4 separate regions of the Mus musculus genome follow, and regions 1, 3 and 4 are each reported to be linked to region 2. Evidence: microRNA targets listed by miRTarBase, many of them from high-throughput screens and not tested one by one. Region 2 holds a microRNA gene; each other region holds the end of a gene's coding sequence.
The links. The annotated mature microRNA mmu-miR-362-5p reads AAUCCUUGGAACCUAGGUGUGAAU and lies in region 2 at 2,145-2,168, shown strand. An mRNA with a match to its seed (bases 2 to 7 or 8) in the 3' UTR can be bound and repressed. Matches are read on the target gene's strand: a 7mer-m8 pairs with bases 2 to 8, a 7mer-A1 pairs with bases 2 to 7 and ends in A, and an 8mer does both.

Region 1 (7,125 bases), not on the chromosome of region 2:
TGAAACTAGCAAAGAATTGGAGCCAGAGATGGAATTTGATGTTGAGCCAGATAAAGAATGTAAATCTCTTTCTCCTGGAAAAGAGAATATTAATTCTCAGGAAGTGGAAAAGGAGTCTGAGGAGAAAGAGGAAAAAGAAGAGAAAGAACCTGAGCCCCAACCTGAGCCTGTGGCTCAGCCTCAGCCCCCACCTCAGCCCCTGCCCCAGAGCCAGCCCCATTCTCAGCCCCACTCCCAGCCCCAGCCTGTACTCCAGTCCCAGCCTCTCTGTCAGCCTGAGACTTTGCCATTAGCTGTTTTGCAGCCTCCACCTCAGGTTATTCAGGAGCAAGGGAATCTACTACCTGAGCGGAAGGATTTTCCTCTAGAGTCTATAAAACTCCCTGAGGTGTCTGTAGAGCCAGTCTTGACAGTACATTCAGAAAACAAAAGCAAGAATAAGACTAGGAGCAGGAGCAGGGGGCGAGCAAGGAATAAAACAAGCAAGAGTAGAAGTCGGAGCAGCAGCAGCAGTAGTTCCAGTAGCAGCTCTACTAGTAGCAGCAGCGGGAGCAGCTCCAGCAGTGGCAGCAGCAGTAGTCGAAGCAGCTCCAGCAGCAGCTCCAGCACGAGTGGGAGCAGCAGCAGAGACAGCAGCAGCAGCACTAGCAGTAGCAGTGAGAGTAGGAGTCGCAGTAGGGGCCGAGGACATAACCGAGATAGGAAGCACAGAAGGAGCGTGGACCGGAAGCGAAGGGATACTTCAGGACTAGAAAGAAGTCACAAGTCTTCAAAAGGTGGTAGTAGTAGAGATACAAAAGGATCAAAGGATAAGAGTTCCCGCCCTGACAGAAAAAGGTCTATATCAGAGAGTAGTCGATCAGGCAAAAGATCTTCAAGAAGTGAAAGAGACCGAAAATCAGACAGGAAAGACAAAAGGCGTTAATGAAGAAGCCAGGCTTGCTTAGCCTATTCTTTGCAGCAGAAGATGTCTTGATGAGTAAAAGGATTACCTTGTAAAGAGGATGCTGCCTTAAGAATTGCATGTTGTAAAAATTCTTTTTGGAGAATACAGACTGTTTGTTTACCAGACATTCTTGTACTTTTTGCATAATTTTGTAAGAGTTATTTATCAAAATTATGTGAGGTTCCAAAATATGTAAAAATGATAATAATAAAAAAAGATTAACATCCTTTGTCATCTTTTTTAACTACCCTATTACTGTTCAGTCAGAATCCGTATATTTTAATAGGTAAATCTTTAAATTGTTCCTTATGTTCTGTATCATACATTGCTTTTGTAGAAATAAATATGCATCTTTCATTATTTTTGGGATGTCCTTGTTGACACTTGTATAATAAATATCTTTATATCATTTTCAGTTTTTGTCACAAGATACTGAACATGATTAGGATGTTTTTGAAGGTTTCATCACTTTGATTTGCCTGAAAACAGTTGCCAGGTTTTTACAGCTTTGACAGGGAATAGTTCTTTTAAAACATTTATTTCCTATCTTACAGTTTTTAATCTAAGCATTTTTCTGTTTTTCATTAAAACCATTCAGTTGGTAGATAACTTCAACCGTACGATTTGGTTGTCATTTCACGATTATAGAACAACATTCTCTTGTCCTCTCAGCTCCTTGTGTGATAACAACTTAGAGTGTAATCTGTTATAGTTATCACCTCCCGGGTGGTGGGGGTCGGGTAAAAATCTCTTCTAAACTTGGTTTTTGAATCTGTGGTCTTGTCTTTTCTGTTGGCTATAACTGAAACATGCCAATCTGTGTTTTCAAGAATTTTTGTTTAAGGAAGTATTGTATGGAAGTTTACACAATGAAGGAAGTTCATCTAGACTTGAATATGTAAACAAGATAACACACAAGTGTACCAAGTGATTATTAACTTTGTTGTTTATAAATTTGTATGGACCTGGAGTATCTGTTGCCCATTACTATATATGTGCAAATAAATGTGACTTAGACTTGTGACTGTTTAAAATTAGTACTTGTATTAAAGTTTTGATGCATATGAGAGCATTTAAATGACAGTGGCTATTTTAACATTGTAGTTTTAGCCTGATATTAAATATTCAGTATATTGTCTATAAGTAAATGGTTTCAGTGAAAAATGAACAAATATCTTCATTTAGTTTTGTGTCTGAACCACTCATGTGTTAAAGCAAATGTGAAAAAGAATTATTTTTAAAAATCCTTTTCTTGGATTAAGTGAACCACTTACATCCAAAAGCATGCTGATGCCAAGACGGGCTTAACCAACGGCTTGTACTTGGCAAAATGCTTTGGCCTTGTGCTATGCAATGAGACAGATTGGTAAAGGACTGACTAGATTAGAAATGACAGGAGCCCTCCCCTAGCACATAGTGGGAGGGGGACTCCAAGAAAGGAGTACTCAATAACATGTTTTACTTAAATGTTTTGTCTGTGGGCGTGTGCAGGCAGGCACCAAGGCAGCCAGAAGACATTATATCCCTCAGAGTGAGAGTGAGGCATTGTTCATTGTGGAGGCTGAGGAACAAACAGGTCCTCCTAAGATGTGTATTACCACAACCACCCTAAAAAATTTTTTTTAAAGCTCTCATTTCTGGATATTTTAAGGTTTTGTGTATTTAAGTATTTTGCTGTTTTCTAATTTAAAGCATACATACTATGGTACTACTATCTTTGCAACCTTCACTGTCAAACTCATAAGCACAGCAATGCCCTCCTTCCCCCCGTTTCATAGTGCCTGGGATCAATCCCAGGGCGTCAAGTATGTTAGCAGGTACTTTACATCTGAGCTCTAACCCCCAGACCCAAATGACTAGAGTTTAACATTCATCCCTCTGATGGGAAATAACAGACTTTGAAATCCCTTTTCTGTTAGTAGATATACCTAAATTCTAAGTGGGCAAAGGCATTCCATATAGAAGCAACACTTGTCTGTGCCTTGGAGTTAGTTGTGGCCATCATGGGAATGGAAGCCAGGGGTAAACTCCCAGGTCACATATCTCCTCCACTTTTTCTTTTTTTTTTTTTTTTTTTTTTTGGTTTTTTGAGACAGGGTTTCTCTGTGCAGCCCTGGCTGTCCTGGAACTCACTTTGTAGACCAGGCTGGCCTCGAACTCAGAAATCCACCTGCCTCTGCCTCCCAAGTGCTGGGATTAAAGGCGTGCGCCACCACCACCCGGCTCTCCTCCACTTTCTTATTACCAAATAGTGTAGCATGTATTTGCTAGTAATAAGCATTGATCATAGAGAAAAGTAGCTCAAAGCAATTCGCGGAACTGACCCATCCATGCCCTCTGGGACCTCCATGTTCTGATTGTAAGTGAGTCATTCAAAGTAAGGTTTGCAGCATATAGCTCTATTGACTAGCTTCTAAATTGTTTGCAGTTGTTTGATAATAAGTAATACCTTTGAATGTATCATGGTACATGTATAGAAATATCTTTTTCAAATATACCTAAAATGAAAGCACCTAGAGATAGTTGAGGCAAATTGGAAACTTATAGATAATTCTTACTAAATGTAGAGGAGATTGGTTTCATACCCTTCCAATGAGGTGTTTATTTAGTTCTTGAGGTGTAGAAGACTAAAAAGATCTTAGAGGTGCTGGAGAGATGTCTCTACAGTTAAGAGTGTATACTGCTTTTCCAGAGGATCAGGCTCCATGGCTTCTGACTGCCTGTAATTCTGGCTCCAGGTGGACCGGTGCTTCTGGGCTCTGAGCACCTGCCCTCGTGCACATTGCACACATTACACACATAATGTAAAAGTAAACTTCTTAAAAACACAGGGCTTGGGGATGCCACTCCCAGGTAGAGGGCTTGCCTGCATATATAAGCACTGCATTTGATCCCCATACTAGATAGGACTAGATATGATAATATATGCTTGTGATGCCTAAACAGAATGAGGCAGAAGGGTTAAGTATGGTTCAGGGTCGTTGGTTTAAAAGTTATCTCAAACATGTAGGGAACAAACTTAGCTTTTGTAATAATAGAATTATGTAATAATACAACCACAGTAGCCCTACTGTGCTATGTAGAACTCTAGGTGTTAATTTCTAGTCTTCAGTATTGATCCACCTTGAATTGAGGTTTGTTTGTTTGTTTGTTTCGAGACAGGGTTTCTCTGTATAGCCCTGGCTGTCCTGGAACTCACTTTGTAGACCAGGCTGGCCTCGAACTCAGAAATCCACCTGCCTCTGCCTCCCGAGAGCTGGGATTAAAGGCGTGTGCCACCACACCTAGCAGAGTACATATTTTAACTGCTAGGCCATCTCTCTAGTCCTTACATTTAGCTTTCATGCAAACTTTAGAATAATTTCCCAAGAGCCCAAAAGATTTATTTTTATTTATTTTGGTTGTTTTAGACAGGATTTCTCTAGCTACCCTGGAACTCACTCTATAGTCCAGGCTGGCCTCTAACTCAAGAGATCTGCCTGCCTCTACCTTCCAGGTGCTGGAATTAAAGGCCTGTGCCACCACTACTCACTGTTAACTTTAGTTGTGCTTGTATTAACTTTTAATTTTTACTTGTGAATAATTGTGGGTCTCACTGTTCTCGTGGATCAACAGTCAACTCAGTCCACATGGGCAGTGAGAACAGAGATGTCAAAGGGAAATGGAAGCTCTGTGACTATGTACGGTGAATGACTGCACCATACAGCTATCAGGAGGCAGATCAACTTTACTTAAGATGCTTCAAGGCTTGTTTTGGGGAGATTGAGGATAGGAACATCCAGGATAGGCAAAGGCCATTGGCTGGGGGTTTAGGTACTTGGAATGCCTCATTAGCATTGGGGAAGTATTTCAGCCATCTCAGGTGCTGCCTGAACAGGTTTTCTCAGGAAAAAGGAAATTGGCCCTGTAATCTAATTGAGGCTACTGAAATTCTATGTAGGGGCTAAGAATCCCCCAGACAAGGTCAGAGAAGGACAAGCCCTGCTAATGAAGGGAGTCTTCCATATTGCATTAAGCCCAGAGTCTATCTGGTCATGGTGGATTTTGCCCTTAATTTTCAGAGTTTTCCCACAAATAATTAACATCTTTAGAGTGTTGGACCAATTTTAACAGAAAGAGATTCAGTTCTTCATGCATCCTGTCAACTATAGACCATGGGAAACCTTTGATGGTTTTCTTCATTCTTACTAAGTTCCTCAGAGTTTGCATGAATTTGGTATTAGAGCTTTCTGCTTTCATTGCGTGCCTAGTTTATTTACTTATATATAGACACGAACTCACAGAGAGCCATAGGCATGGTCTTGTAGTTCCCCAGTCTCTTCTGTCATTGGCACAGAAACCTGGATGTGTCATCAGATTCTCGATGGCTTAGTCAAAGGTTAGCTGTTTAATGCTAACTTCATGTTTATCACTCTAGTATAAATAAGAAACAATCTTTGGGGCTGTGGGGAAAGCTGAGTAGTTAGGAGTGCCTGCTGCTCTTGTAGAGGACCTTAGATTCTGTTCCTAGTACCTACCTACATGGTGGCTCAAAACCACCTGTAACTCTCTAGTTTCAAGGGATCTGATGCTGGCTTCTAGCTTCTGTGGACAACAGTCATGCATGAGTGCAGATACATAAATGCAGACACAGACCCTCCCCCCTTTAGGATCTCACTTTTTGTGAATCTCAGGCTGGCCTCGAACTCACTATGTAGCCGAGAATAATTTTGAAAGTCTGTGTGTTTGTGTGTGTGTGTGTGCACATGCCAGTGTATGTGTGTACTCATGCATGTACATGTGTGTGGGGGATGTATATACACGTGAAGGCAAGAGATTGACTTCAGGTGTCTCCCTTTATCATTCTCTACCTTGCTTTTAAATGTTTATTCATTTCGTGTGTGTATGGGTCTGTGTGCTATGGAGCATGTGTAAAGGTCAGAGGACAACTTTGGGGGATTGGTCCTCGCCTTCTACCATCTGACCCTGGGAATTGAACTCGGGTCCTTAGACTTGACAGCAAGCACTTTTTATCCATTGAGACATCTTGCCAACTTCACGATGCTAACTTAAAACTTGATAGTTTGATAATTCTATACCCTGGAACAAATGCAAAGTTACTTTTTCTAGATGTCAAGCATGTTGTCCTTAGTCCTTTCTGACCTGTTTTTAGGGTGGGGTTGCAGGATAATTTTCTGTTTAGTCATTTAACCTTTGGAACTCTTAAGCTTTCCTGAAGATCCATCAGACTTGACTTCTGCTGAAACTGAAAGCATATGACTCAGCTCTGAGCAGGCAGGGTGGAACAGAGCGTCCGTCCTACACGGTATCTAGGCTTAGGACTCTTGATTCAGAGTTGTAACCAATGTGAACAAAATTACACTGTAATGTTTATTTATTTATCATTTTAAAATTTACTTGTTTTTGTTTGTTTGTTTTTGTTTTCCAAGACTGGGTTCCTCTGTGTAGCCCTTACTTTTCTGGAATTCACTTTAGAGACCAGGCTGGCCTTGAACCCAGAGATCTGTCTGCCTCTGCCTCCCAAGTACTGGGAGTAAAGGTGTGTAGCACTGTCCCCTGACATAACTGTTAGTGAAATTCTGAGGCAATCAAGTGCTCTGCATACTTCAGTAGGACTGGTGTAGAACTAGCAATGCGAATCTGCTGGAAAGCATCCTGCAGAGGTGCAGGGAGAGAAGCTAGCTTAAATAAGGCTGAGTCTTTTTCTTTCCTGGGCACTCACCTCTCCCTTCCTGGAAGTTAGCTGTGGCCATGTGATTTGGTTCTGCAGTGTCGATGGGTAAAGAGGATATGTTCTCAGGCTGGACCATGGAAGTTCATACAAGGCTTTTTTCATTTTCTCTTCCACTTTTGTGATGATTTCAGAGGCCACATGATCTAGGATGCAAACTCACAAAATGGATATATTTGTGATCTCTGGGTTACTACCTAGAAGAAAGTTACCACAGGGCCGGGCATGGTGGCGCACGCCTTTAATCCCAGCAATTGGGAGGCAGAGGCAGGCAAGTAGATCTCTGAGTTCAAGGCCAGCCTGGTCTACAAAGTGAGTTCCAGGACAGCCAAGGCTACACAGAGAAACCCTGTCTCAAACCCCCCCCCCCCAAAAAGTTACCACAAACACCCTGATTAACTTGGGGAATAAAAATAAGCTTTTTTAAGGAAATATTTCTTTCTTTTAT
Region 2 (7,125 bases):
GAGGGCAATTTTTATTAAACCACCATGGGAGTGTATAGTTAAACTAATAAGGATTACTAGGTGATGAAATGTTATGTGACTACTATTGTATATGTAGTTTGTGGCTTACCAAACACCATGTAGTATGTGACTATAGTTCTGATTGTATGATAGTGTGCTGATATGTGGAGCCAGTGGTAAGTTGGGCAGTCCAGTCTTTGTAGCATGTGCATACAGGAGGATGAAAATCATTCTCACTGTGTACGATCACATATACATGCCTGAGAAGCTGCAGGATGCACTTCCTTACTTTAGCCTCCACTTTCTAAGTGTCAAACCTGATTCATCACGTTCTCAGCACACATAGGCAACCTTCAAATGCAGAGGCCCACTGACAGCTTAGCAGGAACAGAGTCCTGCTCCCCTAACCTTGTTCTCTTACACCTCTAAGGAAGGGTAGTGGGCTCTCTTGGTTTTCATCTTTGACGGAGCTGTTATAGGAAGGTATACTTGTTTGTTAACACTGACATTTTTGTAAACACATACCTAGACAGTCATAGATATGCTTTTGCATCAGCTGGGTAGATAGGAGAACAAATATGAATGAAGCCCATCTATAGCTAGGTGTACATCATATATAGGCCCGTGAGCATAGAAGGTTTCTTTTGTTTGATACACTTGTTTTCTCATAGAGAAAAATGCCTTACTGTCATTCATTTATATTCGCTCTCCCCCCTTCTCTACTTCTCCCCTCTCTCCTTACTCCTGACTCTCTTCACTCTCTGTGACATATAGTAGGAAAGTGAAAGATTGAAACTTGTGATTTTGTCTTTCATATCCCTCACAGAAAGGGGTGTGAACTTCGTTGATTTAGGCACATTGAAGAAGAATTACCAGAGAGCCAGTCCTTGCATTGCCTTTTACAGATTCTCCGAGTCACTGATATTCATGCCTCCTTCACCTGGCTTTTGCATATATGAGTATGACCATACTATTGTAAACAGGACATTCATTTAGACACATGTGTACAAAAATGGTAGTGTAAGAGGTAAAAATAATAGCCAGGGGCCAGGTCCTGCATCCTACTCTAGGCTTGCATCTTACCTAATTTTTTTGGTACTCTTTAAAGAGATAGCATTTGTTATTCTCATTTTTTAGAAGTAGTCCATGACCTTGGAGAAAGCAGGTAGATTCTTTAATCCAGTACATGGTGAAGTATAGGTTTGAAACAGGGTTTGTAGATACCAAACTCCACAGTTTCTCTGTCTTATCCATGATGCTGGTAAGGTCCCCAGCATCACCCAGCCCCTTTTAGAAATACAAAATCTTGAGCTCACTAATGAGAAACCTCTGTAAGTTATCTTAGTACCAAGTCCTCCAGGTATCTGAAGTAACTTTAACAAGATGCTGATGTGTGTTAAAGGATGCCAATCTCTACTGCCATCTTGTGAGCTTATGGCCTCTTCTCTCTGTCTCTCTGTCTTTTTTTCTTTCAGTATTTTGTATCTCTGGCTTTATATTTTTATAATCTCAGAACAAAATATGAATGTATATATTTAGACAGGTTTCTCTGTCTCTGTCTGTCTGTCTGTCTGTCTGTCTCTCTGTCTCTGTCTCTCTTTGTCTCTGTGTCTGTCTGTCACTCTGTCTCTCTCTCTCTCTCTCTCTCTCTCTCTCTTTCTGTGTATGTGTGTGGAGGGTGCAGAGGTCAACCTGAGGTGCTTCCCCTTTGGGGACATCTACCCTGTTTTTTGAAACAGTCTCTAATAGGGACTTGGCACTCACCAGTTAGGCCAAGGGATCTAGCTTTCTTTGAGTCCTCACGCTTGGCTCTTTTATGTGGAGGCTGGGAGTTGAACTCAGGTGCCTAGACATACTTAATGTGAAGCTCAAGAACATTGTCTTCTTTCTCATCACAGATAAGCACCTTGTGTCAAAGGTGAGCCCATGCGTTCATTTGCTGTGAGCCTTTTGCCCTGCTTCAGTTCTCTGATCCTTGCTACCTGGGTGAGAGTGTTCTTCAGCAAGGATTCTGAGAGCCAGACCTTTGTGTTTGTAAAGGACAGAGCGCATCTCTCGTTCTCTTTTAGTGTGTTGCACACAAGCATATTGACCACACACAGGAAGGGCAGGTTCCTGAGCCTTCTTGCTTGCTCCCCCTCTCGAATCCTTGGAACCTAGGTGTGAATGCTGCTTCAGTGCAACACACCTGTTCAAGGATTCAAAGAGGCTGAGCCTTGTCTGCGTGTAGAATGGCCCATACTTGCACATCTCACCTGCCACCTTCCCTCCTCCTGGCCACCATTTGATTTTGGTTTTAGCTGTCAGACTTGGTTCTACACATTTTCTAACAGCAAAATGGTCTTTATCATGTTTGGTAGACATGCTTCTATTCTCAGCATGAGCTTTCTTGATTCCCAGTTTGCTAAGTGTCAGATCATGTGATGAGGAGCACACATTAGGTGCTGCTACTCAGGCAACCCGTTTGTTACATCCAGTGATAACCCCTGTTCCACAAAGCTTGAATTGTATAAAGGCATTGGAAAGGAATGGAGTATCCTCCTCCACTGTGCCCTCTTTCAGTATGTATATGCATTCTCAGATCCCAGCCTTCTTGCTACCTTCCAAACATAAATCAGGCCCCCACAAATTCTCAAGTATGATCTGGGAGAGATACCATTTTGTATACGTAGAAGTTTTCTCTGAGAGAGGATGCTCATGGTGGGAAGGGGGCAGATACATATATAAATCAGGGATGTCAAGCTTGGGTATAGGTGGTGATGCTTGGCTGAATCAGGACAAGGAAAATTAAATATTATATACAGAACCACACAAACATGGTACAGGTGCCTGGGCCTTCTGCTCTGCTCATCCTCTCTAATCCTTTGTCCCTGGGTGAAAATGCTATTTGTATGCAATGCACCCGGGCAAGGATTTGGGGAAGGTGAGCCTGATCTGCATGGAGAAGGACAGGAGGTCTGTGCATCATATCTCATCTGTTTGCTGCTTGCATACTTCTTTTATGCCTCCCCCCACCTTCTTTCCTTCTACAAATACAACGGGCATGGTGCATGGGAGAGTAAATGTGACAAATTTGGCCTCTTCCCACCTAGATTTTATAGGTAGAACTTTATTTCCACTTATGACCCTAACAGGTATCAAGAACAAGTGGGGCACATAGTAAACTGTGTATTGACATAAGTGCGCAGCTTTTCATTCTAGTTCTCATACCGACACCTGGAAGAGAAATTCTTCTTTAGTTCAACTCTTGGAGGAATGCACAGGGCAAGAACAGTAAGCCTTCTTGTTGAACCCACATGCCAAGGGCATAGGTGCAGGCTGTGCCTTTCTAGTACTTGCTACTTGGATGAGTGTGCTTTGCGAATGCAATATACCTGGGCAAGGGTTCAGACATTGAGTTATCTTCATGTAGGACCTTTACGCCTCCTTCCACTGTTTCCTGTCTATTTATTCAGTATGGCAGGTACTCAACTAGGGATTTGGTCCACAGGAGTATGAACCACATGTGGTTCAGGGAGCAAATGGTCCAGGGAGAGTGAGCTGTGTCACATCCATTATGCCTGCATGAGTGGACTGTAGACTGGGACTTCATGTACACTGTCCACTTGGATTCTTCCATATTTTAACACAGTCCCATATAAATGCAGTGTATACAGAGGAGAGGATTCACAGACTTGTGCCCACAGAGAGGATTATCTGACCTGATTCATCAGGAACATTAATCCTCAGCACAAGTGCTGTTTTCAATAGTAAGTCCTGTCCAAGGAATCCAAAGGGTGGCACTTCGCCTGCACTTTAAAGGACAGAGCCCCTATATGTCCACACCCCTGTTCCTTTTCCTTCCTTTCACAAATATTCAGGTATGCACTATTTGATACAGCTCTGTTAGTCATAGAGGATGTAGCAGGAAACAAAATGAACAGAGGTGCTACTCTCTTAGGAGACTAATAAACACACTAAGATCCTTGACTATTATAGACTCACCAACTGCTGTTCAAAAGAATGACCTAGGTCTATTGTTCCTTGTTTTCTATTCTGTATGAATGACTCAGTGCAGGGTCTGATAGATGAGATTTCTCAAACTATTCCCCCTCCCATGGCCCTAGATATGCCTAAACACATGGGCCTACGTGGAGAGGAGTCACTCGCTCACAGGAAGAGTGGATATGGAGCCTATTGTGTTGTTCCCTCTCCTCATCCCTTCAGCCCGAAGACCAGTAGACTAAGTGACTTCTTGTCAACTACCATCACTACTCCCATTTGAAGACAGGAGCTTACTGTCTTACTGTGTAGCTCTGTCCCTCAAGCTGATTCTCCTATACCCACCTCCATAGGTCATACTTTTCTACACACATTTGCAAGCTGGCCTGGGCAACATGTGATCCCAAAAGAAAAGTGAATCTCTTTCATGTTAAAAATAGTAGTCTTTATATCATGTATATTTTTTATTCAGATGAGGGAGGTCTAACTAAGTAGCTTAGTCCAGCCTGGAACTTGCTGTCTATTCCAGAGTAGCCCAGATCTCTTGGTTCACCTGCCTCAGGCTCTGGGTGCTGGGATTATAGGTCTGATGTGCCACCGTGTCCAGATGCTTCATGTTCTGAATGGCCATTTACAGTGGTGATTCTCAAGGCAGGATCCCTGAATCAGCAGCATCACCGTCACATGGGAATGCATTCAAAGTGCGGAGTTCCACCCCTGACCTATCAGGTCATAACACAGAGCAGTTTATATTCTCTTTAAGCCTTCCAGTTGATTCTGATGATCACTCAAATCTTATAATCACAGAATCCAGCCAGGTGAGGGGCTAGAGAGGAAAGAGTTCCCTTCTTTCTTATGTATGTTCATGCAGGCTGTCTGGGAGAAGCTCAGCTGGTCTCTCCTGCCTTCTCATTCCCACACTTGATGATGGCATGTGGGCAAATGAATATGCAACAAAGAGAGAGAAACCGTAGCATGATTTCTGTAGGCATGTACCTAATATTATAGACAGACACATAATTGGTGTACAAAACCAAAACCAACTCAAACACTTCCTTGTGTGCATGGATTACACATGAGAGTGGGCCTTGTCATCATGAATCTTCTGCCAGGTGATTTAATTAGCACATGTTGACTGTTCACTATGCTGTGCTATGTGTTGTTGCAGGAGTGTTCTGCTGAAGAGCATAGCTTTCTCCAGAGGAGGGATGTGTGGTGAGATTTGCTTTCCTACTGAGAGAGCAGTCATTCAGGGAGCTAGGAAGTAAGAGCTCTCAGTCTCGTGTGTGTTTCCATGTGGATGCACATGTGACATATGGAAGTAGAGATGTAGTTCTCTGAATACCTAAAAGGCAGGAGAGGAGACATAATCGCAGTCTATGCTTATGTGCATTGAACTTTCTTCTTACACACTAAAAATGCACATCTGTTGTATAGGTGACTAAACCCCAGGTTTTGTTCACCCTTGCCTGTTGTTAAAGACCTGGCATGCATGTTTTTTTTTTCATTTCATTTATTTTATTCCCTTTCAGATAAAATCTTACAATATAGTCTGGCTGGCTACAATTTCATAATTTTCCTGTTTTACTCTCCTGAGTGTTGGTATTTAAAGGCTGTGCCATTTTGCTTTGCATGAATGCTCTTATCAGTGCACTGGGATTATGCAAAAATACAAACCCTGAGCCTTACATACTTATAGGAGAAGCCTATGCACCACTTCTCATTCTTTTTCTTGCTCTTTTAACAGGTTGCTTGCATTTGTATTTTGTTCTGGTCATCCAGATCGATTGAATTCCTAATGTTTGGTAGTGCTGCAGTGAACTAAGCTGTCTGAAATGCTAGCTCTACTGTCTACTGGGCCTATGGAGATTAAGCTTCTTCATGATATAGCTTCCGAGGTTAGAAATGAGCTCAGGGTATTGGAATGTAGGCTTTTTCTTCATTTGTTCATACGTAGAGTATACCTGTGCACACACATGTGGTATGAACGTCAAGATAAAGTCTTCTGCTTGCCTCCCCCTCTCTGTTGTCTTTGTCATCTAGATATGAATGTTATCTCATTGACAACATTCTACTCTTTGAGGGTTAGAGGGGCCTTTTACTTCCTTATAGAAGGGCAATTACCTGTAAATCAGTGCTTTCTCATTTCTCCCCCAACAAGTACAAATTTGCTGACACCATGCTGAGCAGGTGGTAGTCCCCAAGATAGACTAGCTCTCACCCTCAAAAGAGATGCGTAGGGAGTGGCATCTCCATGTTTTCAGTTGATGGTGAGTCACAAAATGGGACTTTTTAATCTACAGAAACACACAAAGTGTAAGACTTCTCATTTCTGCTTTCATATTGGTGTATAGTACAGTGCTTCCCGCCCCCCCCATCTCCCCCCCCCGCCTCCCCCCCTGCACATTGAGTACTCAAGGCCCTGGTCCTTCTCCTCTGCTCCCCCTCTCTAATCCTTGCTATCTGGGTGCTTAGTGCTATCTCAATGCAATGCACCTGGGCAAGGGTTCAGAGAAGGTGAGCTCATCTGCATCAAGAAGGACCAGAGACCCTGTGTGTCAGCCTACCCCTCCCTCCTTCTTTCCCCCTCCCCCTTCCTTCCCTCTATTGAGTAAAATAGTTGTTTGAGTGAGTCATGTATACCAGGGAACCCCCTAACAGATTATTTAAGAGATTTCAGGTACTCTAGTTGGCTTCTTTCTACAGCTAACTTATAAAATACTCAGGTACCTGGAGTGTGTAGGCTTTCTCTGTATTCTGTCCTGTATGGTTATACAGGATGAGGTCAGGAGTTCAAACCTGATATGTTTTTCTACTTCCTCACAGCCTAGAGGTGAGTATTGTTTCAGACATGGTTTCTAGCTAAAGATTCACTGGAAGGACAAAGAACTATTAGATCTGCCTTCTCCCCTCCCCAATGTCTAGTTTCTACTGTATATTGGGCATTCAGTTTAATGTTGAGAGTATGGTAATGGATGGACAATAAGGGCCAGATTACTGCATGTAGTCTCTGGTGAGCACCTTTAGGAACAAACTCCATCTGGATCAACAGTGTACATGGACACAGTAATGACCTCAAATAGTGATATCTATAGAGTACAAGCTCAAATGCCTGTATAACCTGCAAATGTGCAAATTCCCCAC
Region 3 (7,125 bases), not on the chromosome of region 2:
TATATATATATATATATATATATATATATATATATGTTGTGTTAAGCAGTAAACTCAGGGCCATGGACAGAGGGGCAGACATTGTATCTCTAGGCCTGACATTTTTAATTTCTGGTTGCAGGTTTTTATGTAGTTTAACTTAAACCATGCACTGAAGTTTTAAATGCTCGTAAGGAATTAAGTTACCATTGGCTCTCTTACCAAATGCGTTTCTTTTTTCTCTCCACCCTGATCAAACTAGAAGCCGTGGAGGAACTTCCAGAGATGAGTGGGAAAACGGCCCGGCGCTTCTTCTTCAATTTAAGTTCTGTCCCCAGTGACGAGTTTCTCACATCTGCAGAACTCCAGATCTTCCGGGAACAGATACAGGAAGCTTTGGGAAACAGTAGTTTCCAGCACCGAATTAATATTTATGAAATTATAAAGCCTGCAGCAGCCAACTTGAAATTTCCTGTGACCAGACTATTGGACACCAGGTTAGTGAATCAGAACACAAGTCAGTGGGAGAGCTTCGACGTCACCCCAGCTGTGATGCGGTGGACCACACAGGGACACACCAACCATGGGTTTGTGGTGGAAGTGGCCCATTTAGAGGAGAACCCAGGTGTCTCCAAGAGACATGTGAGGATTAGCAGGTCTTTGCACCAAGATGAACACAGCTGGTCACAGATAAGGCCATTGCTAGTGACTTTTGGACATGATGGAAAAGGACATCCGCTCCACAAACGAGAAAAGCGTCAAGCCAAACACAAACAGCGGAAGCGCCTCAAGTCCAGCTGCAAGAGACACCCTTTGTATGTGGACTTCAGTGATGTGGGGTGGAATGACTGGATCGTGGCACCTCCGGGCTATCATGCCTTTTACTGCCATGGGGAGTGTCCTTTTCCCCTTGCTGACCACCTGAACTCCACTAACCATGCCATAGTGCAGACTCTGGTGAACTCTGTGAATTCCAAAATCCCTAAGGCATGCTGTGTCCCCACAGAGCTCAGCGCAATCTCCATGTTGTACCTAGATGAAAATGAAAAGGTTGTGCTAAAAAATTATCAGGACATGGTTGTGGAGGGCTGCGGGTGTCGTTAGCACAGCAAGAATAAATAAATAAATATATATATTTTAGAAACAGAAAAAACCCTACTCCCCCTGCCTCCCCCCCAAAAAAACCAGCTGACACTTTAATATTTCCCAATGAAGACTTTATTTATGGAATGGAATGGAAAAAAACACAGCTATTTTGAAAATATATTTATATCTACGAAAAGAAGTTGGGAAAACAAATATTTTAATCAGAGAATTATTCCTTAAAGATTTAAAATGTATTTAGTTGTACATTTTATATGGGTTCAACTCCAGCACATGAAGTATAATGGTCAGAGTTATTTTGTATTTATTTACTATTATAACCACTTTTTAGGGAAAAAAGATAGTTAATTTGTATTTATATGTAATCAGAAGAAATATCGGGTTTGTATATAATTTTCAAAAAGAATTGTAGTTGTTTTTCAGTTGTGTGTATTTAAGATGCAAAGTCTACATGGAAGGTTGCTGAGCAAAGTGCTTGCACACTTGCTGTCTGTTTCTTGCAGCACTACTGTTAAAGTTCACAAGTTCAAGTCCAAAAAAAAAAAAAAAGGATAATCTACTTTGCTGACTTTCAAGATTATATTCTTCAATTCTCAGGAATGTTGCAGAGTGGTTGTCCAATCCGTGAGAACTTTCATTCTTATTAGGGGGAATATTTGGATAAGAACCAGACATTACTGATCTGATAGAAAAGCTCTCGCCACCCTCCCTGCAGCAAGAACAAAGCAGGACCAGTGGGAATAATTAGGAAAACTGTGACTATGTCAGGAAGTGATGATGGCATCTTGTTCTTTCTTAAGCCTATAATCCCTTCCAGGGGGCTGATCTGGCCAAAGTACTAAATAAAATATAATATTTCTTCTTTATTAACATTGTAGTCATATATGTGTACAATTGATTATCTTGTGGGCCCTCATAAAGAAGCAGAAATTGGCTTGTATTTTGTGTTTACCCTATCAGCAATCTCTCTATTCTCCAAAGCACCCAATTTTCTACATTTGCCTGACACGCAGCAAAATTGAGCATATGTTTCCTGCCTGCACCCTGTTCTCTGACCTGTCAGCTTGCTTTTCTTTCCAGGGATATGTGTTTGAACATATTTCTCCAAATGTTAAACCCATTTCAGATAATAAATATCAAAATTCTGGCATTTCATCCTATAAAACCTAACCCGTGAGAGCAAATGGTTTGTTTGTGTTTGCAGTGTCTACCTGTGTTTGCATTTTCATTTCTTGGGTGAATGATGACAAGGTTGGGGTGGGGACATGACTTAAATGGTTGGAGAATTCTAAGCAAACCCCAGTTGGACCAAAGGACTTACCAATGAGTTAGTAGTTTTCATAAGGGGGCGGGGGGAGTGAGAGAAAGCCAATGCCTAAATCAAAGCAAAGTTTGCAGAACCCAAGGTAAAGTTCCAGAGATGATATATCATACAACAGAGGCCACAGTGCCTAAAAAAATTAAAGAATGTCTGATCAGCGTCTCAGCACATCTACCAATTGGCCAGATGCTCAAACAGAGTGAAGTCAGATGAGGTTCTGGAAAGTGAGTCCTCTATGATGGCAGAGCTTTGGTGCTCAGGTTGGAAGCAAAACCTAGGGAGGGAGGGCTTTGTGGCTGTTTGCAGATTGGGGAATCCAGTGCTAGTTCCTGGCAGGGTTTCAGGTCAGTTTCCGGAGTGTGTGTCCTGTAGCCCTCCGTCATGGTTGAAGCCCAGGTCTCACCTCCTCTCCTGACCCGTGCCTTAGAACTGACTTGGAAAGCGGTGTGCTTACAGCAAGACAGACTGTTATAATTAAATTCTTCCCAAGGACCTCCGTGCAATGACCCCAAGCACACTTACCTTCGGAAACCTTAAGGTTCTGAAGATCTTGTTTTAAATGACTACCCTGGTTAGCTTTTGATGTGTTCCTTATCCCTTTAGTTGTTGCACAGGTAGAAACGATTAGACCCAACTATGGGTAGCCTTGTCCTCCTGGTCCTTCAGTCATTCTCTAATGTCTCTTGCTTGCCATGGGCACTGTAACAAACTGCAATCTTAACATCTTATAAAATGAATGAACCACATATTTACATCTCCAAGTCCTCCAGATGGGAGTGCGATCATTCCATAAGGATCCCACCTTCTGGCAGGTCTATCCAGTACATATTTTCTGCTTCATTGGTCTTGATTTTCTTGGCTAAAATTACTTGTAGCACAGCAGGCCCCATGTGACATATAGGTATATACATACATGTATGTGCATATAGTGTGTACATGTTCTAATTTATACATAGCTATGTGAAGATTATGTTACATATGTAGATGGTCGCACTTCTGATTTCCATTTAGGTTCAGAGAGAGACGTCACAGTAAATGGAGCTATGTCATTGGTATATACCCCGAGTGGTTCAGGTGTTCTCTCTATTTTTTTAAGATGGAGAACACTCATCTGTACTATCGAAAATGAGCCAAATCACTTAGCAAATTTCTAGTCACTTGCCTTGCTGTTAAGATACTGATTCACTGGGTGCTGACATGCTGAGCCCCTCCCTACTTTTTGATTGAAAGGACAAAGGAAGAGAGCTTTGCAGTAAAGAATGGTTATATTGTGGGGGCGAGGGGGGCGGCGTTATAGATCGGCATATATGTGAGGAGGTCACAACAGCCTGCACTATTCCTTTTCTGTTTTATGTCTTGCAGGGGAAGGGACAGGTAGGGTGGGGTTGAGGGGGCAGGGCACACACATCTACTTGGATAAATTGCATCTCCTCTTTCCTTCACCCCGCCACCATATCTTAAAGCCTTATGACATCCTCTAGGGCAGAATTTTCTCACCAGCTCCCCGCCCTACCAACTTCAAAGTGAACTTCTAACTAACTTGAGGGGCCAAAGTTCTAAATAAAACTTGTTAGAGTTTAGCGGGCACCTCAGTCATCAGGAATGCCTCCAGGAAAGCAAAAAAGCTTGATGTGTGTACAGCCCACGTGGTGGAGTCCTGCCACCCTATGATTCCTGTCCCAGTGGTCTGGGTGGGGCCTGAGATCCTGAATTTCTAATGAGCTCCCAGGTGACACCCTGACTCACTGTGCCAGAGGACTGCAGTTTGAGTAGCAAGGTTGTGTGGACTGTTCTTTCGATCATGGCTACAGAAGCTGGCTCAAGTACAGCCCCTTCGTGTGTAAAAGCCATGTGTAAATGAGAAGAAACAGAAGGCAAAGCTGCGTTGCATGGCATCTGAATCAGTGCCCTGCAGTTTTGTTTTTTGTTTTTTTTTTTTCAAAGACATTCTTTTTCCCAACAAGATGAGTGGCAATCTTATGTTCTAGCCACTCTTAGACATGAAAACACTGGGTTGCTTATCTTGTAAAATCTGCTCTGCTTGCTTGCTTGGGCACGCTGCAGTCAGTTTAGTCAAATGCGTGTCAGTACATCTATATGTATGAGGGAGCAGGTGCAAGTCCTTAGAAATGTACTTTAAAAAACTTGAACACTTAAGTCAGTGTGCTGAGCTGCTCCTGTGTGATGTTAGTGCCAAGCACCTGAGTTAAAGGGATCTCTTTGAAGGCAGAGGGTAGATGTCGTATGGTTGAAGCATTTGTTTATACTAAAATGATGCTTGACTTTTTTCTAAGTTATAAGACAGTACACTGTATAAGTTCATTGAACCTAGAGGGTGGCATAGGACTCCAAATCTGGTATGGGAGGTTTGTTCTAATGGAAGTTCGAATCTTTTTTGCAGTTGGCTTGGAATAAAGTGCTTATGTGAATGGGCTTAAGCTAGGGAAAAAAATGGGTTTCCCTCTGCAAAGAGGGTCAGCACAGAAATAACTTCCTGGCTTTGCTTGGCATGAATGCCACTTGTTAGCAGAATGCCCTGTGGGGATCAAGGGTAGCTTGGGCAGCACCTTACTCGGCTCTCAGAAACTCTTAGAAGCAACACAGACTTTAATATTTGTTGAAGAAATGTCAGGATGAATATATTCTTAATCTCAACCAATCTTGTTGTGTAAGACACACACACACACACACATGCACACACACACACACACACACACACGCACACACACGCACACGCACACACACACACACATGCACACACACACACACGCACACACACACACACACACACACATCCCTGTGGGTGAACAGACATGTGCACATACACACATACAAGCACACATATTTGCATACACACGTACATGCTAACAAGCACACATGTTCACATGCACGCATGCACACACATGCATGCACATCTCTGAAGGAATTTTCGTTTGCTCATGTCTAGAGTCTGAATGCTGAGGCAAGAGCATCAACCGTCCCCCACCCCACCCCCTTGGCCAATCCCTATGGATTTATCATTTTGTTTAGGTCTCTAAACTCTGAATGGAGACCCTCTGAGGTGCTACACCATACGCTGACTTTAACAGCACTTAAAAGCTTGTGTTTGCCTGTGTGCTGGGCCCCTCGCCAAGGCATTGCTGGGAGTCCATTACTGTTGCAGTCCATTCTGATGAGGAGGTCTCTCAGCAAAGCCCCGATCTGCTCACAGCTCTCCTCATAAGGAGCAGGAACTCATCTGGACCGAATTTACCCTAGAACCGCTTGGCCACAACACTATGAGAGAATAATTATTGAACTATTTTACTGTACAACTATTTCCAAATTGTTGATTTTTTATTGATTTCAGGAGGCAAGCTAATTGCCCCATGGCAACTTGATGTTAACATTTAATGAAGATCAGGAAGCAGAGTTTATGAAAAGCGTTTGTATAGCGACTGCAAAGCTTCAAGAACTGTTTTACACTTCCTGACGGGGCTGGGCCTCGCTTAATGGTTTGTTTTTATTGCTTAAGAGTGTAAACCGTGCCTTAGCCCAGTGTGTGGAAACTATACCCTCATCCCGCATTGCACATTTTCTTGTTGCTTTTTCCTCGCTTCCCATGTCATTGTACCATCTACAATCAAGACTTTCTCTTCTTTGTATGCAAGCAAGTTTCTATCTTAGACGTTGATGACACTACATGCACACACACACACACACACACACACACACACACACACGCACATGCATGCACATAGCCTGATGAACTGAATGTGCTGCTTCACTGTGTTTGGGTGGAGTTTCTGTTCAGCACTTGGTTGCTAGACAACCAAGCAGACAAAATTTAGCGATTCAAAAGGCATTTTTAAAGACGACAAATTTTGAGTGGCTGAACTCTTTTATCTCTGACTTTATGGGGAAGGTGCAGGTTTCTTTCAAAGATCTTGTCTCTTCCTGTTTTTTGCTGAGTAGATAGCTTACTGGTAGAAATTGTGTGTGTGTGTGTGTGTGTGTGTGTGTGTGTGTGTGTGTGTGTACAGCGATCATGTGTTTGCACATGTGTATTCAGGTGCACGTGCACATGTGTGCACAGCCGTGTGGAGGTCAGAGGTTAACATCCAGTGTTTCTCTCAATAGCTCTGGGCCTTGGTTTTTCAGAAAAGGCGTCTCACTGAACCTGGTTCTCATCAGTTTAGCTAGGCTGTCTGCCAGCGAGCCCCAGGGATCCTCCTGTCTCCGCCCCTTGTGTACCCCCAGCACTGGGGTCCAGACACATTACCCACCATACCCAGCTATGTTTTAATGTGGGTGCTAAAGCGCTTCATTCACTTGCTTCTTCTTGTGCAGAAAGCGATTTAGTTACTGAGCCATCTCCCTCACCCTGAAGAGTGTTTTGAAGTCTGGCTCCTTCAGGATTGTCTGAAAGCTTTCTTAACTGCTGTTCCCATTTGCTGGAACTTGCTTCCCACCTGGAAGCTAACTTGGTTTCCAAGGGCATGTTTTAAATCACTAGTAAAGTTGAGCTCCGGCTCCAAGCTCCTCCAATTGTTTCAATGTCAGGGAGTGATTCCTGTTGGAGGCAATGTTTAGAAGCACCAAGCCTGGGTGTGGAGGGCCCTGTCTCGAAGAAGCGACCCCAAGTTTTTGCCTGATAGATGGTATTGAAAATGTTTTCTAAAACCTTCGTGAAAGCCTAATTTGAAATCAAAGTCATTTTCTGATTTCTGTAACGTGCTCCA
Region 4 (7,125 bases), not on the chromosome of region 2:
GACCATTGGGCCACATGGACTAGCTCCAAGGCTGCTGGCATTCGCACCCAGCTGTCTGCATTCTTGTTCCCTTCTAAGGGCTGGCTACCCTCTTGGTTTGGCCTCTGCTTCTCCCTCGGGCACCGCCCCTTCCCCTGCAGCACCAGTCTCTTTATAGTTTACTCTGTACATGGGTCTGGGTCTTTGGATCTCTCGAGACAGCCTTAACAAAAAAAAAAATCTTGCTTTTGACTTAAAACATATAGGACTTAGATTTAACACCCAGAAGCATGGGGCAAATTAGGATATCCCTAAGACAGTGTGATGTGTCCCTTGTCAGTAGTAAAGACTCCCTTAATTCGTACATGCTGCAAAGATCAGAGGGAGAAAAACCCAATCGGTACATGTGGTGAGAGGGAGGTGAAGGCGTGCAGCAAGCCTGGCTAAGATATAAATTATAAACCAGTTTCTTGGGCCTGTCAGATGGAGAAGGAGGCTTCCAAGGGGTAATCTGGTACATGAAGGTCACTCAGCCTTGGCAGGCACGTCACGGCTAACCATGATTACAATCTGCTTAGGCACAGTTAAATGAGCAGAATTAGCACTGTCTTGTGGAGCCTATAATGTGTGCAATGATCGGATCCATGTCTGTAGATCGAGAGGGTCAAGCTGGTGAGGCATTTACAGTTGCTTTCTGTTTACAGATAAGGATGTTGTTCACTGCGATTTTAACTGTTCAGAAAACCAGGAGATTTCTTGGGGGGGAGGGAGGGGCAAGGGCAGTAACTCACATCAGAGTAACATCAGATCTTCTTCCCCCACCCTCCCATCTCTGTTGACAGAATAACACTGACGGACTTCAGGAGCTCGCCTGTGGGGGATTGATTTACTGCTTGGGAGTTGTGTTCTTCAAGAGCGATGGCATCATTCCGTTCGCCCATGCCATCTGGCACCTGTTTGTGGCCACGGCAGCTGCCGTACACTACTATGCCATTTGGAAATACCTGTACCGAAGTCCCACAGACTTTATTCGGCATTTATGACCAGTCTGTGCTAGGTTTTCAAATCAGTATTATCACGATGGAGGCACTTGGGTGGGGGGAGGGGCGGGGGGAGAACTGAATGTCGCACACAGAAGAAGAGTGAGCAAACTTGCACTGACTTCGTTTTAATTTTTTTTTAATATAATTACTGTGAAAGTATAAAAGCTGTGTCTCGGAGTTTTCCTCTTCACAGGCAACAGATGAGGTAGTGAATCAATTCTTCATTCCATTCCACTATCATGAAGGACTCGGGAGAGACTTGGCCAACTGATGTTTACAAACCAGAAATTTTTGTATTTTTCTTTTACAGATTTTAACTACGATGATTTTTTTCTAAATTAAGTAGGTCAGGTTGTCAAAGTCAGTGCAATAGTAATACAACTTCCTTTTTAAGAAAACCCAAAGTTGTTTCTATCACGTTTCCCGTTCACTGTGTAAAAGAATCATGGAAACTGAACACTACTTTTTACCATGTTTCATCTTGACATAACATGGTTATTTTTTAAAAAGGAGGCTTTAGTTCTTTTGTAAATTTTTAAAGAAACGATTCCATTGACGCACACCCCCACTGGCTCCTCATCCATGCGAGGTTTTTGCAGCAAACGGTCAACATTCCACGAACAAACATTATACCTCTTCTGGCAGTTTTATTAAGTGTGGAGAACTTGCCAATTTTTTAGAAACACTGCAGTTTTTTCCAACCTTTTCTGCCAATCTCTAACCCTGAACTCAGTGCTGCTTTGGGCTGACATCCATGACTGGTGTGGGCCACCAGGAGTAAGACAGTAGTGTTTTGATACCATCCACTTTTTCAGAAGACATAACTTCGCTACATGCCTTTGCCCCAGTTTTTCTCCAGGGTCTCTCTCCACAGTCGGGGAGGATCCTGTCCGGATTATGATAGTATTATTGGGTTGCCCATCTGCCATGAGCTTTCTGAATCATGGCGAATTGTATTTGCCACTTTGGTGCCCAACGGTTCAAGTCATTGTGGTTAAGCCACTTAACTTTATTGTATGAGTTTGATATTCATTTTAATTGTGGGACTAGACACATAAACTCACATTTCTGCCTTTTCCTCTGCATTTCTCAATATATTATGTTTTTCTCACGCCATAAATAAAACATTGATTGGCAGGTTGAAGCTTGTGTCAGTTGTTGATGGGTTTTATGCTGACTCTGTGGAGTGATATTTATATATTATTTTTAGTTTCCTCTCAATGTCTTATATTAAGATTGATGTATTAGTTGCTTTGTTGGTTAATCTTTCTTGGTGTTTAAGAGAAATGAAGTCACCTTGCCTTTAGATCAGATGCTATTATAACCTGTCTGTCTAGGAACAAGCTGTCAGACTAAAGATATGGTTTATTCATTGAAATTCTGGACAGCTGTACGTTTAAAAGAAAGTTTATTTTGTATGTGTGTCTAGGCTCTGATTTTTGGTAAATTGTAAAGGAACAACTGAAGAACTGGTTGCTGGGGATGTCTTCAGTAGTCAGGAGTACCCAAGGATAACACCAGCCACACCGCTGTATATGCATGATTCTGAACAGTTAGCCGCCTGTTATTTTACTGTGTATATTTGACTTTAAATATATTAACTTTTTGTGGATTCATTTAAAGTCTGCTCATATGCAGCACTGTCAAAACCACTAAACTGTATTTGAGAACTTGTGCTGTAGGTTAGAATAAAGTTGTTACTTGGGTTGACTCCATTGTCTGGAGCATATGGCTGAGAGTAATGCTGGGTGTTTGAGTGCTTGAGCGAATCACACATTTGTAATTTGTGTAGTAGTCTTCCAAAAAATCAGTATGCAGAGGGAAACAAACTGGCCCTTTCATTTTTAACTTTCTCTCTCTCTCTCTCTCTCTCTCTCTCTCTCTCTCTCTCTCTCTCTCTCTCTCTCTCTCTCTCTCTCTCTCTCTCTCTCTCTCCTGACTTGAGCTAACTCAAGCTTCATTCTGGTTACAGGGAGTGTTGATGTGACATGTAATCTCAGCTCATTTAGGAAACTGGTCCAGGAGGGTTTCAGTGAGTTTGAGACTAACATGGTCTACACAGTCCCAGCTAAGTAGGGAGAGATTCTATCAGATAGATAGATAGATAGATAGATAGATAGATAGATAGATAGATAGATAGATAGATAGATAGATAGATAGATAGATGAATCTGATTTTGTGTGTGTGTGTGTGTGTGTGTGTGTGTGTGTGTGTGTGTGTGTGTGTGTACATAACTAAACAACAGTAGTCACTTTTAAAAGGCCAAGCCCCACAGTTTGAAGAGATCACTCCATGCCTGCCTGCAGCTCTCTCGGATAAAGAAAAGACTGTCTGTGCTGAGGTCTAAGTGTAGCCCCCGGTTTATAGTCCCAGCCAGCACCTGGCTCCTCCACGCTCTTGGCCACGTATGCTATTGAACTAAATCACTTGATGTGAAACTTCCCCTTAAAGGTTATAAAAAGCCCAGTTTTCCGTTGTTCGGAGATTGGTCTAGAGACTTCCCTGGGATTTGTTCAAGGAAGAGCTCTGAAGATTGCTCTCTGAAGAGGCTCTTCTGGCCTTCTACCACCCCCCTCTCATGGCAGTACACTCCTGAGTGCTCCCTCTCTCGGTCTCTCTAGATCTCTCCTCATTTTCAGTCATAGTGAAGCCCCTCTCCAGGTTTAAAAGGAAGCTGCGCCTTTCCTTTAAGACCCCTGTCACTGTTCACTCTTCAGGATATGTGTATATGTGTGTGTATACACACGCGTATACATGTATATGTGTATATATGTATGTATATGTATACACACACATTGACAGAGATCCCTCTGCCTCCTGAGTGCTGGGATTAAAGGTGTGCACCACCACCACCCAGACTTTTCCAGTATATTATAACATCTTTTGTGTGTGTGTGTGGTTTTCTGAGACAGGGTTTCTCTGTGTAGCCCTGGCTGTCCTGGAGCTCACTCTGTAGACCAGGCTGGCCTTGAACTCAGAGATCCGCCTGCCTCTGCCTTCCAAGTGCTGGGATTAAAGGCGTGCGCCACCAGGCCCAGCCATATTATAACATCTTTAGTGCCATGTTCTTTTCCTCTCAAGGCCTGAAGGATGGATGTGTGTGTGTGTGTGTGTGTGTGTGTGTGTGTTTAGATATGTCTTTACGTGTGTGTGTGTGTGTGTGTACATATATATATGTGTGTGTGTATATGTATATATGTGTGTGTGTGTGTGTGTTTAGATATGTCTTTACGTGTGTGTGTGTTTAGATATGTCTTTACGTGTGTGTGTGTACATATATATATATGTGTGTGTATATGTATATATATATATGTGTGTGTGTGTGTGTGTGTTTAGATATGTCTTTACGAGTGTGTGTGTTTAGATATGTCTTTACATAGGAGAACTTTTGCTTATCTCAAGCAAGTACTCCATTGTGGGATTCAGATTAAAAGCTTCCATATGCCCAATGACTAGATTATACTTAACACTATAACCCTAACCACGACTTCAGTAGTAGATATAACTCATTCTTGACTTTTTTTTTTCTGATGCTGGGGGTTAAACTTTGTACCTACACGCTGGACACACATTTTACCTCTGAACTACTCCCTTGACCTCTCTCTGTAGTTTGGGCAGTAAGAGAGATGACTGCTTCATTCTAAATGGAGGAAGGGATCTAGGTCCGCCCGACTCCACAGCCTCACTTTTGTGGTGAACCACTGCATTAGACTAGAGTCAGCAAAATCAAAGGACTTGAACTGGACATTCACCAAGCATGGACACGAGAAAGAAAACAATGTTCATATGGCAAAGAGCCTTCGTAAGGATCAAACAATCTTTCCATAGAACTTTGAAGTCTTATTTCCAGGAGTTTTCTGTTCTCTAGTTCCAGGATTCTATCATGTATTTCTAGAGTGCCCACCCACCTGGTGATGCCCCCTTAATGTCTCCCATCAACATTGTCTTTAAAGACTAGGTCTTTCAAATGAACAACCACCAGTCCACCCGCCCTCGGTTTCTCTCACCACCCTTCCCTACAACCAGTCTTCAAGGCTGTAATCTGTGCCTTCTTCATCCCTCCACAATGGGGTTCCTCACCTCTCTCCCCAACTACAAGGCTCTAGCAAACCCTCAGAGCAATGCTGCCACCCTCGTATCTCTACCCAGGCTGAAGCATCTTTGAACAAATTCAGCCCCCACCCTGCCTCCAGCATCCTTTTCCTAACATAAGACCTGCACATGACTGCTGTGCTTAGAACTCCCATTGCTAGGCCCAGAGATGCCTGTTCAGTGCCTCCGTCTGAACTCTTCTCACAAAGATGCTGTCTGACCTTGCCTCTTTTAATGAAGCCCAGGACAACCCTGCAGCTGGTAACTTTGGCAACCTCACAACCCAATGCCTGTGCCCACTTGTTGCTTTAGAGTCTGCTGCAGCTAGGCGTGAGTTGTACTTACCGAAACCCTGCTTAATCGGACAGCATGCTCAGTCCCACCTGCCTCGGGATGCACACAGGTGCCTGGCATGGTTAGATGTCTTCCTGTGTAAGACAACAGCTTTGGCATCCCTCCACAGCTTGTCACATATTGATGGTGTTTGCTATCTCCTGGTTTCTCGTCCTGAGAAGGAAGTCTGTCAAAAAAGAAGTGAGTCTCGCTCTACCTCTGTTCTTAGCTTCTAGTGTCAAGCCGGGCTCAAGGGGAGAGTTTGTTGGGTGAAAGAGAGTTCCCAGGAGATACGGTGTTATTTAGATCTCAGAGGTAGGCTTCTCTGGAATGGTTGGAACCCGACTTTGAGTTTCAGAAAGCTTGTATAAGCCACAAGGAAATTGGGGAACTGGAATGTGAACGTTAGACACTATCCTAAGTAAAGAAAAGCAACACTTGTTTATCAATGCTTTCATAAAACCCAGCAACAGTTTATGAGCTTGGAAAATGATTCCTGCCTTCCTTATTTCCCTGTGGCCCTTCCTTCTTTTCTGACTTAATAATAAAATGAACAGAATCAGCACTTGGTTCTGCGTCCCTGGAGTCTTAATGCAGATTATTCTGAAAAGCAGTAACTCTAAAATTACTTATTGATATTATATAATATATTTTTATCCCCACATCATGCAAGTGTATGGTTCTAGAAAAAATATACAAAAAATTTAAATGCCTGAGTTTACTCATTTGAATACTCATATACGACTAGTCCATCTTCTTTTCCCATATTTATAGGATATGATTTCTGGGTTCTTTTTTTAATATTTATTTATTTTATGTATATGAATACACTGTAGCTGTCTTCAGACCCACCAGAAGAGGGCATCAGATCCTATTACAGATGGTTGTGAGCCACCATGTGGTTGCTGGGAATTGAACTCAGGATTTCTAGAAAAAGAGCCAGTGCTCTTAACCACTGAGCCACTTCTCCAGTCCTGGCTTTTGTTTTATGCAGCTGTCTATCCCATACATAAAAATTGTAGGGGCTGGAGAGCTGGCTCGGTGTTTAAGAGCACATGTGGCTCTTGCAGAACCCTGTCACTCCAGCTCCAGGGGAACCCAATGCCTTCGGCTTCAGCAGGTACCTTCTTCATTCATGGGCCAGAGACATAGATACACATACACAGAATTAAACATTGCAATAAGAACAAATCCTTTAAAAAAAACATTTACATGGCACTGCATTTTCCACACTTTCTTTCCATACAGGTTTAAAAATATTATATAGCTCTCCGCCGGTAAGATAGCACAGCAGGTCATGGCATTTGCTGCCAAGCCTGGCCGCCTGAGTTCCATTGCTAAGACCTACACAATGCAAGTAGAAACACAGCTCCTCAAAATTCTCCTCTGACCTCCATGTGTATATTGTAACACATGTTTAACACACACACACACACACACACACACACACACACACACACGCTTAACATCATTTTAGTCAGCAGAATATTCTTTTCTTTTTGCTGCCATGCTGGGATTTTAAACAGAGATCTCCTGCATGCTGAGAAACAGAGCCAGAATTTTCAGTGTCTCTACCATTTTTCCAGAAGTGAACATTTTGCTCGTTTCAGAATTTTTAGGTTTCCTTTTCAATATTTTATCATTATGAACAGTGATGCAAGGAACTTAAAGCACTACT

Region 1: the mRNA of Pnn is a reported target of mmu-miR-362-5p. The part of its 3' UTR that is shown has no 7-base or 8-base seed match.
Region 3: miRTarBase lists Bmp2 as a target of mmu-miR-362-5p. Seed matches in the 3' UTR shown: 7mer-A1 at 1,631-1,637.
Region 4: miRTarBase lists Mmd as a target of mmu-miR-362-5p. Seed matches in the 3' UTR shown: 8mer at 2,529-2,536.

The regions. Positions count from the first base shown.
Region 1 is chr12:59,071,889-59,079,013 of GRCm38, forward strand. It overlaps Pnn (pinin), which reads left to right. Exons shown (of 9, transcript NM_008891.2): 9 at 1-2,129. The coding sequence ends at 925. Among named protein-coding and RNA genes, the nearest start is that of Pnn, 8.5 kb to the left of the region's middle.
Region 2 is chrX:7,237,062-7,244,186 of GRCm38, reverse strand. Mir362 (microRNA 362) reads left to right here and starts at 2,141; the gene lies at 2,141-2,205. All of the region lies in intron 2 of Clcn5 (chloride channel, voltage-sensitive 5), which reads left to right. It overlaps Mir500 (microRNA 500), which reads left to right and starts at 6,413; the gene lies at 6,413-6,504. Mir501 (microRNA 501) reads left to right here and starts at 2,836; the gene lies at 2,836-2,944.
Region 3 is chr2:133,560,633-133,567,757 of GRCm38, forward strand. Bmp2 (bone morphogenetic protein 2) reads left to right here. Exons shown (of 3, transcript NM_007553.3): 3 at 242-2,264. The coding sequence ends at 1,083. It overlaps Mir3090 (microRNA 3090), which reads left to right and starts at 4,076; the gene lies at 4,076-4,162.
Region 4 is chr11:90,275,842-90,282,966 of GRCm38, forward strand. Mmd (monocyte to macrophage differentiation-associated) reads left to right here. Exons shown (of 7, transcript NM_026178.2): 7 at 822-2,732. The coding sequence ends at 1,022. Among named protein-coding and RNA genes, the nearest start is that of Mmd, 30 kb to the left of the region's middle.